3 linked regions of the Saccharomyces cerevisiae S288C genome follow. The gene in region 1 interacts genetically with each later gene. Each region holds a gene or a part of one and is shown in the gene's direction. Other genes may lie near its edges. The genes, in order: YPC1, ASG1 and SRP102.

Evidence for each region.
Region 2: mutations in YPC1 (region 1) and ASG1 together harm fitness more than expected from each alone (negative genetic interaction), as found in Saccharomyces cerevisiae (one large-scale study listed by BioGRID).
Region 3: mutations in YPC1 (region 1) and SRP102 together harm fitness less than expected from each alone (positive genetic interaction), as found in Saccharomyces cerevisiae (one large-scale study listed by BioGRID).

What each region holds. Positions count from the first base shown.
Region 1 is NC_001134.8:594,583-597,702, forward strand, and holds YPC1 (phytoceramidase), read left to right. Parts: upstream 1-1,532; coding exon 1,533-2,483; downstream 2,484-3,120. Other genes in the region: SMP1 (Smp1p), read right to left, coding at 1-282; YBR182C-A (uncharacterized protein), read right to left, coding at 779-973; YBR184W (uncharacterized protein), read left to right, coding at 2,781-3,120. UniProt on the Saccharomyces cerevisiae protein: Alkaline ceramidase that hydrolyzes phytoceramide and also dihydroceramide into phytosphingosine or dihydrosphingosine. Prefers phytoceramide.
Region 2 is NC_001141.2:100,718-104,479, forward strand, and holds the start of ASG1 (Asg1p), read left to right. Parts: upstream 1-2,064; coding exon 2,065-3,762. Other genes in the region: forkhead family transcription factor FKH1, read right to left, coding at 64-1,518. UniProt on the Saccharomyces cerevisiae protein: Probable transcription factor involved in the stress response.
Region 3 is NC_001143.9:159,520-162,916, forward strand, and holds SRP102 (Signal recognition particle receptor subunit beta), read left to right. Parts: upstream 1-2,081; coding exon 2,082-2,816; downstream 2,817-3,397. Other genes in the region: tRNA methyltransferase RSM22, read right to left, coding at 1-1,823. UniProt on the Saccharomyces cerevisiae protein: Component of the signal recognition particle (SRP) complex receptor (SR). Ensures, in conjunction with the SRP complex, the correct targeting of the nascent secretory proteins to the endoplasmic reticulum membrane system.

The sequences.
Region 1 (3,120 bases):
AACACGTGGTTTTTTCACATAGTCACCATAATCAGATGGTTCTATGATATTATGAGGAAGATCAGTGTTGTTTTGATGAACATTAAGCAGGTTACTCATATCAACAGAAGAGTATTCGTAGAATGTATTATTGGATCCTAAAATAATGACAGCAATGTCTACTTGGCAAAGTACTGACAATTCATGAGCCTTTTTAAATAGTCCTGCTTTTCGCTTTATGAAAGTAACTGTACGATTTCTATCATCTTTGATAGGTTCAATTTCAATTTTTCTTCTACCCATTTAGCAGAAATTTTTTTGAAAATAATTGTGTTTGCTTATCTAGAGCTTTATTAAATTTTTTTCTGATGAGATAGGCCTGCTCGAAAAAATAGTCTGTCTTTGAATTTGGCTCGTATATTTCTCCCTTCGAATGAATGATAAAGAAAGACTCAAAGGAATGATGTAGTGTTATATAGATTGGCTAAAATAATTTGGCAAAAGAAAGATGGATAAGGATAGTTCATGTTTTTGAGTCCTTCACGAACATAGGAAGCCGGGTATGCGTGGAGATTTAAGTTTTGCCAAGCCTCCAATTACTCGAGCGAGATTATTTTTGCAGAAGAAACAAAGACGCCGCTTGTTACTAAAAAAAGAAGGCAACAATAATGCAAAAAGTTCGAACCAACTGTACCTCAAGCCGTTTTGTAAGCCACTATCATCGGGAACGGTACAGGTAGAATGATAGATGAAATTTACGTAAGCGTTAATGGAAAACAATAACGATGTGGTGTAAAAGCTAGTGCGTAGTGTGAGTGCCACTAGTTTTCTTTGACAGCTTAAGAGCAAGCTTTTGGAGCTCACAATCAAGTGAAACAAGAATTATGTTCATTTTCTCCTTCGGAACTGCAGAATAAAAATTCTTTATACTATAAACACCGCCATTATCAAAAAAGTATTGCTGAATCATGGTATACAGCGTGAAAATCTTCATGGCATTTCTACAAATTCTTTTTAGTTAGTATCGCCAACCATTAACCTTTTTAGTAATGCTGACGTTAAACGAAGGCGAAAAAAAATACTTGGCAACACCATCGTTTATATTTTTTTCAAATGGAAGTGTCGGCCGACGTAGCATAGCAGGAAAGATTCAAAGGCAAGGGTTTCACATAACGTTACCCTTCTGACCACGCCCCTTCTTTCGATCCCACTAGTGCGGACGGATTATCACGCAAGTTTTTTAACGCGAGACATCGGAAAATATTTATGCCGATTAGATCCGGCCCCTGAAACTTTTTGTTTGATACTTTCAAACGCACTACTCTACCCCATGACATAAAAAATATCTGTCTCCGGTTATATATGTCTAAATAGAATTCGGGTAGCATTTTATTTTTATCGCTTATAGGAAAAAGATATTTGCATATATATATCTATATATCCTATATACATCTATATAGTTATTGTGTAAGGGGTTTTTATAAGGTCCGATACTTACAGAGATTAATTTGTAAATAAAAGCAGAAATCTTTATTTAAGAAAATAGAAGATTGATGGGAATATTTCGTTGGAACTATCCAGAGAGTTCTGTCCCCGGCGTTTGGGGAGAAACAACTTCCACTATTGACTGGTGTGAGGAGAACTATGTCGTTTCTCCCTATATTGCCGAGTGGTCAAACACTTTAACTAACAGCGTATTCATACTGTCAGCGATTTACACAACTTACTCTGCTTACAAGAATAAATTAGAAAAAAGGTTTTTACTTATTGGCTTCGGGTACGGTTTGGTCGGAGTAGGATCATGGCTATTTCATATGACACTGAAGTATAGATTCCAACTATTGGATGAACTTCCAATGATATACGCCATGTGCATTCCGACATGGAGTTTAGTATGCGAGGCCAAAGAGGCATTACTTAACGGAGATAATCACAAGAAGGTTCCTCTATTTGAACAGATATTCATCGGCGTAATTATCGGCCTGGCCGTTACAACAGCAAGCATACTCTACGTTATTTACAAAAATGTCGATATCCATCAAATTTTGTTTGGCGTACAGATTGTAGTTGTGGCTGCTACTGCAGGAAGTTTGACGTACAGATACGTCCATGATCCACTTGCCAAAAGAAATCTCAAGGCTTCAATGGCGCTCGGCGCAATTTTGTTCTTATCTGGCTACATTTCGTGGCTACTTGATATACACTATTGTTCGTTCTGGGTGCACGTTAGAAGAAGTATTTTGGCTTTACCACTTGGTGTACTGCTTGAACCACACGGATGGTGGCATATATTAACTGGTATGGGGATTTATTTCTACATTGTTTCTTTGGAACATTTAAGGGTCATTACGCTCAACGTCAGCTGCAATTACCAGTTCATCTGGAGATGGAAAGTCTTCCCTGAACTGATATGGAAAGGGCGCAAACCCTCAACAAGATATTCACTTGAACTATTTGGCCCATACGTAGAAGATCAATCAATTGAAGTTAAAAAGGAGAAGTAATAATTATAGCATAATATATATTCATAATGTATAGGCATATTTATTTTTTATTTTTTTTATTTCATGTTCTATTTAATGACGAATCACGAAGAAAATATATCTAAGAAAAGATCTTTTGAATCCTTGATTTGCGAATAGTTTAAATGACCCAGCTTATTGCTCTGGTGAAAAAAAACTTTGTGCGGTCTCAAAGCCGTCGGCGGCAAAATAACGTGAATTGATGAAAGTAAATAAACAAAACAAAATCTCTAATTGTTGTAACACAAATACTAAGAAATTTGTTAGCTAATTCGGGACATGTACCAAAATAATGTATTGAATGCTATTTTGGCTTCTGAAAAATCAAACTTTCAATACGATAGTGGAACAATATTAAGAAACCACAAAAGACCAATAATAACATTTAATAACAACATAGAGCACACAGTATCCGAACCTAATAATTTTACAGGCTATGAGGAAAAGGAAGATTTGGATATAATGGATATTTGTCCTTATTACCCAAAAGCAAGAATGCTGGCGGATGCCATTCAACATGCCAAAACGAGCGCAAGTGAAAACAAAATGGAACTATCAATGAAAACTATCCCATGTCTCAAGAAGGAAAACGTCCATGTTGAGAAAGGGCACGATTGGT
Region 2 (3,762 bases), on another chromosome or scaffold:
TTTCTTAACGGGTCTTTGTTCTTTATTGTTTAATAATACATATGGGTTCGACGACGCTGAATTTCAACTCAGAGAGGAATTGTTCACGTTTGCGTTTGTTGTTACGTCCATGGATGTCGTAGTAGAAATTTGGCCAGTGAGTTGAGTTCTTTGTAATTGCGGGGCGCTTTCACCTAAAATCGAGCTCGTAGCTTGTAAAGACTTTTTCACCTTCTGTGCTTTTATCCCCCTCGGGTCAATTGATGAAGATTCAGGAGCAGGTATTTCTCCAAATTTGGACATGTGCAATTGCAGCTGTCTTGTCACAGAGGCGCCTCGTCTAATCTTACTCAATTTACCAGCATTCCACTTGTTCAAAAAATCACGCCTGACTTCATCGCTAATTTTCCAATTCATCCCTTTACCTTGTTGACCAGCTCTTTTGGGCACCTTCTCGAAGGCTTTATTTAGGGACAGATTATGCCTCACGGAGTTCTGCCACGCCATTTGAGAAAACCTGTAAAATGCGTAGTTGTCAGAGATAAATTTGTAAATATCCGCTAATGAAATACTACCTTCGGGTGTTGAAAGAATGGCTTGGGTGATCATCGATGCATACGACTGTGGTGGTTTGATATATCTGTTTTCATCCAGCGACAAGTCTGATGGATTTTCTATATGGGGTACATTACCGTTAGTGACAGCATTGTTGCTACTGGACGTGTATGTATTCGGTCTAATTCCTCCTCTGGTGTAATTTTCATCTTCTTCATCTTCTTCCATCATAATCGTGTCTCCATGTGGATCCCCTATTGGGTTAACATCTGATGATGACGATAATGGGGTGTGTAGGTGGTCCAGCTGTTGTAATCGAGCCTCTTCCTGTAACCTTTGCTCTCTTAAATAGGTAGAACCTTCGATAATGTTACGTAGCAACGGGTTGTTGTTACCATTCGTACCATAAGTAGATAGTAATTTGGGCATGAGGTGATTCAGGCAATAATCCGATATAATAGTTTCTTGTTCCGGCAATATAAAGATCATTTGCACACCACCTATGTCTATGATACAACCAGACTGTAGCACCGTAGGAGGAGAGTCTGGACCTGTGGGAATCCTTCTAAAATTGACCTTAGCACCATTTCTACCGAATATCTGTAATTCCCATGATCCGCTCTCCAGGTTGAATCTGATTGCAGCATGCTTCCTAGACACAATTTTGGCAGGACCAAGATCAATGTCTATATTCTTCTTCACGACTGTACCGGGCACAGCATTCAAGTTCAAGCTGTCTGTGTTCCTACCAATGGTAACTTCTAATTTTTGTACATAATACGTCCAATCACATCCGGCAATTTTAGCATAAGCGTTGACCTCTCTGGCAATACTCAAGCTATTGGAATAGTCACTTGACACAGCCACAGGATCGCTTGACGAGCTAAGAACACATGTCACCGCATTAACAAGCCCTTGGCGATCCTGGGCTGTATACGAACTATACTTACCACTAAATTTTTGTTCCCTACTGGTAACAGACATTTATTATTACTGTGTCTCTCCAAGCCTTTCTTTGCTAATTGAACGCACAATTTACACACTATTATTTAAACCTTCAATCTTCTATAGAGCCGGTATTCATCTAAACCTCTTACCATCCTGTTCTCTCTATACCGTTTCTGATTTGTTTATGTTTTTCCATTTTTTTGTTTACCTCATCCATGGATCATAACCTATTTCGTAACTTTTTTAGACCTATCATATATGCTATATTTCCGTTCAAGCCCTTAAAAAACATTTTATAAGACCTACGCTCTTCAAGCCCTAGTGATTTCTTTTTTTCTTTTTTTTTTTTTTGGTAATTTTTTTTTCAAAAGTGACTACAGTAATGAGGTTTGTCTACCTGGACATGACCTTCTATTGTTGAGTAGTTCCTTGCATTGAAGACAACCAGTAATCGAATTTTTTATAAAGCGGTTAGAAAATCTCGAAGAGGTTAACATATAGAAAAAAAGCCTCTTTTTATTTGAGTTCCATAAGGTAAGAGACAAAGAAAAAGGAGCGCATATTATAATTGATAAGGGCGTTATGCCAGAACAAGCGCAACAAGGGGAACAGTCTGTCAAGAGAAGAAGGGTCACTAGAGCCTGTGATGAATGCAGAAAGAAAAAAGTTAAATGTGATGGTCAGCAACCATGTATCCATTGTACTGTGTACTCTTATGAATGTACTTATAAGAAGCCTACGAAGAGAACACAGAACTCCGGAAACTCCGGAGTTCTAACACTGGGCAATGTTACTACTGGTCCATCATCAAGTACTGTGGTGGCAGCCGCCGCTTCCAATCCAAATAAACTCCTCTCAAACATTAAAACAGAAAGGGCTATTTTACCGGGTGCTTCTACAATACCTGCAAGTAACAATCCATCTAAACCAAGAAAGTATAAGACTAAGAGCACAAGGTTACAATCGAAGATTGACAGGTACAAGCAAATATTTGATGAGGTCTTCCCGCAGTTACCTGATATAGACAATCTGGATATTCCTGTGTTCTTGCAGATCTTTCACAATTTTAAGAGGGACTCGCAGTCGTTTTTAGATGACACTGTGAAAGAATATACTTTAATCGTAAATGACAGTTCTTCTCCGATCCAACCAGTACTTTCTTCAAATTCAAAAAACTCCACTCCAGACGAATTTTTACCTAACATGAAAAGTGACTCGAATAGCGCCTCCAGCAACAGGGAACAAGACAGTGTAGATACCTACTCCAATATCCCCGTTGGTAGAGAAATAAAAATAATTCTACCACCAAAAGCGATCGCTTTACAATTCGTGAAAAGTACTTGGGAACATTGCTGTGTTCTTCTCCGATTTTATCACAGACCATCGTTCATTAGACAATTGGATGAGTTGTATGAGACAGACCCAAACAATTATACGTCTAAGCAAATGCAATTTTTACCATTGTGCTACGCTGCAATCGCTGTGGGAGCATTATTCTCGAAATCCATTGTCTCAAATGACTCGTCAAGGGAAAAGTTTCTACAGGATGAAGGTTACAAGTACTTCATTGCAGCAAGGAAACTAATCGACATTACAAATGCCCGTGACTTGAATTCCATACAAGCAATTTTAATGCTGATTATATTCTTACAATGTTCCGCACGTTTATCAACGTGTTACACTTATATCGGTGTCGCCATGAGAAGTGCTTTGAGAGCAGGCTTTCATAGGAAATTGAGCCCCAATTCTGGTTTTAGTCCAATAGAAATTGAGATGAGGAAACGCCTTTTTTATACAATCTATAAACTGGACGTTTATATCAATGCAATGCTGGGCCTACCGAGATCTATTTCCCCCGACGATTTTGACCAAACTCTCCCCCTGGATTTATCAGATGAGAATATCACTGAGGTGGCGTACCTACCTGAGAACCAACACTCCGTTTTATCAAGTACGGGGATTTCGAATGAACATACAAAACTATTTTTGATTTTAAATGAGATCATTTCTGAACTATATCCGATAAAAAAAACTAGTAATATAATTTCTCATGAGACAGTTACTAGCTTGGAATTAAAGTTGAGAAATTGGTTGGATTCGTTGCCCAAAGAACTGATACCTAACGCAGAAAATATTGATCCTGAATATGAAAGGGCAAATCGTTTATTACATTTGTCTTTTTTGCACGTTCAGATAATATTATACAGGCCTTTTATTCATTATTTATCACGCAACATGAATGCTGAAAATGTAGATCCCTTATGTTACCGGAGAGCCCGG
Region 3 (3,397 bases), on another chromosome or scaffold:
TCAAAGTTTGAGAACTGATGATCATCAAATTGAAGAGAGTCCTCCAATTCATTATAAGATTCCATAGCCTTTCTAGCTTTTTGACGTTCTTCCTTTTTCAACTGCTTGATTCTCTCCTTTTCTAGCTTGTGGAACTTCTTAACATTCAAGTCTCCCAGCCCTTTAATCTGTGTTTTGGCCGCTGAGGCCCATAAATCACCTTTCTTACTCTTTCTGGCATCGTGGTATATTTGTTTAGAAAACGACCGCGAAACCGTCCATTTTTCAAGTTCTCCTGATGGCGCACATAAATCCATCATAACATGACCTTTACGTTTGACAGGATCATTGATAATTCTAGGCCAGGAATTTTGCGTGTCATCACCCAGTGATCCAATGTCATATTTGCCGTTCACATTTTCATTCCGTAATTTCTTAATTTCTTTCAACGTATTTTCGTCCTTATGTGATCTCTCGAATATTAAATAGGAGTAGTTTAAAATTTCATAGTCACGACCATTTCTTCTTCCCGTTCCTTTTAGCCTCGACGCATTTCCTTGAGAACCATCCCATGAAGTAGCGAGAAGTTTACCCTTCTTTAACTCTATACTGAATTTGGGACGCTTGATGCTTTTTTGAAAATTGCAGAACTTTAAGTCTTTACCCTCTTTATGAGTATAAAAGTTAGGATTTCCAACCTGTAAGGGACATTTCCTTTGATGTGGACAAGGTGCAATCACCTTCAGAAAATAATTACTGGAAATGTTTCCTAATTCAGCATCTTTTTTGCCTCTGACTGTTACTCCCCTAGACCAAGGTCTTGGTATTTTTCCGAATTCATCTGGAAAGTTTTCAGGTCTAAGCGTAATTTGCCTTGCCCTGGCTATAATCTCGAATCCCATTGGGTTGCCTCGTTCAATAATAACAATGTGGCCTCCAGGCGCTAGAATATTTAAGTAGTGCTCAATATTTTCATCCACCTGAATTGGAAATTGATTCCCGTCATGAAGAAGTTGATGCGTTAATATTATGAGGTCATATTCCTTAGATGCGGGAATAGAAGACCGCAAGTTAGTCATAATGTTTATCTTTTTTGTCATCACTTCTCCAATATGTTCATCCTCTTGAAAGTTTTTGTTCCGTCTATCTGTTTCCTGCTCTTTCTCTGTAGACACATTTTCTTCTACAGTATCGACCACCTCGTTAAGTTGTCTGCTCAAAATGATTTTGGCTCTTTCTTGCATCTCCGCATTCCCTAAAATAACGGCATCTTTTAGATCAGGTCTATAATTTGGGCCTAAAATATCATTCAAGGCAACTATACCAGTCGCTGGGCCATATCCAACATCAAGGATTCTTTGAGGTTTAAAATTATCAGGACCTACCCTTTTTTGTAATTCTTTCAGACTTTGGAAAATAGAACCATAATTTTGTAAAAAAATGGACGCTATATGTGCATCCACTTCCATTTTGGTTCTACAGGGACGATGTAATGAATTTGGTTCCTGAATCTCTTTGTAATAATTTGTAGCAACCCTTCTAAGATTATTGGGAATATGTACAGCCATAATATTATTGTTGATTGCTTTGCTTACATCAGGATTCAACTCTAATTGGTCCCGGTACGACTGGCCCTGAAGTGTTTTGGAAAGTAATCTGAGCTCTTTAGAATTAGTTGCTTGAGTGGTGCTAGCGGTTTCATCTCTGTACGACGGAAGAACATTGATTCCTCTTTTATTTGAGTCTATAAAATCCGCCAAATCTAACTTTGGTAAGTTTAAACTTGTGAACTTTGAGCTGAACCGGACATTTTGTGGTAGGATACTGAAGCATCTTTTCATCATTTTACCTAAACTAGACGGGCCACCTTATGTCCTAAAGTGTCAGAGGTTTTGCTGCAATACTGTTCTTAATTTTTCACCATTCACTTTTTTCATCTAGTGGCGGAAAAAAATAAGAGATATGGAAAACAAATATGAACCATCATTAAACTTGAAAAAGATGAGAAGAAAAGAAATAGTTAGGCTTTAAGTGTCTGTATTGATCAATTAATTATTACTTTACCACTGCTGTTTATTAGCATAATAGCACACGGGATCAGAATGCTTAGTAATACACTTATTATTGCCTGTTTATTGGTGATAGGGACAACCATAGCGCTAATAGCAGTGCAAAAGGCATCCTCCAAGACAGGGATCAAGCAAAAAAGTTATCAACCATCTATTATCATTGCAGGTCCTCAAAATTCTGGAAAAACGAGCTTGCTTACGCTGCTAACCACAGATTCAGTAAGACCAACTGTTGTTTCTCAAGAACCGTTATCAGCAGCGGATTACGATGGTTCCGGCGTCACGTTAGTGGACTTCCCAGGCCATGTCAAGTTGCGTTATAAACTCTCAGATTATTTGAAAACAAGAGCCAAATTTGTTAAAGGGTTGATATTTATGGTAGACTCAACAGTTGATCCTAAGAAATTAACAACAACAGCTGAGTTCTTGGTAGACATATTATCAATTACTGAATCTAGTTGCGAAAATGGTATTGATATCTTAATTGCATGCAATAAAAGCGAATTGTTCACTGCAAGACCACCATCAAAGATCAAGGATGCTTTAGAAAGCGAAATTCAAAAGGTTATTGAAAGAAGGAAAAAATCGTTGAACGAGGTTGAAAGAAAAATTAACGAAGAAGATTATGCAGAGAATACACTAGACGTTTTACAGTCTACCGACGGGTTCAAATTTGCAAATTTGGAAGCATCTGTAGTTGCTTTTGAGGGCAGTATTAATAAAAGAAAAATTTCCCAATGGCGCGAATGGATAGATGAAAAACTGTAATATAATTATAATTTATAACTAGATGAACGATAGATAGTTTAAAAACAAGCATTTAACATAGCTCTAGATTCCGTACGCAGAGAAAGACATAGTTGCATCATCGACACATGCAATATCAAAAGTAACTCTTTTTGACTGCTGGTGTAAAAAACACTCACGATGGGGGTCGAACCCATAATCTTCTGATTAGAAGTCAGACGCGTTGCCATTACGCCACGCGAGCTAATATTTGTTTGATGTTCCAGCAGTTATATGATCTAATTATGCGGGAAAATAATTGAAGATAAGTAGTTTGATGTATTTTTATTATAGTATTATATTTTCTGATTTGGTTATAGCAAGCAGCGTTTTTTTTCTTCTTTACCATAATCATTGTACCAGGAAATTTTGTTCATAATTATTGTGTTGATTGTCAATGGTCAAAGGTACAACTAATGAAGATTAAATATGGTGAATAGGAGGCCTGCTAGCCACCGTACATTTAATATGTCCGCGTGTTGGAATAAAAATCAACTATCGTCATCAACTAGTGGTTATACTACCAGTATATTATCTTATATGGTGTCAAATGTGGACATGAT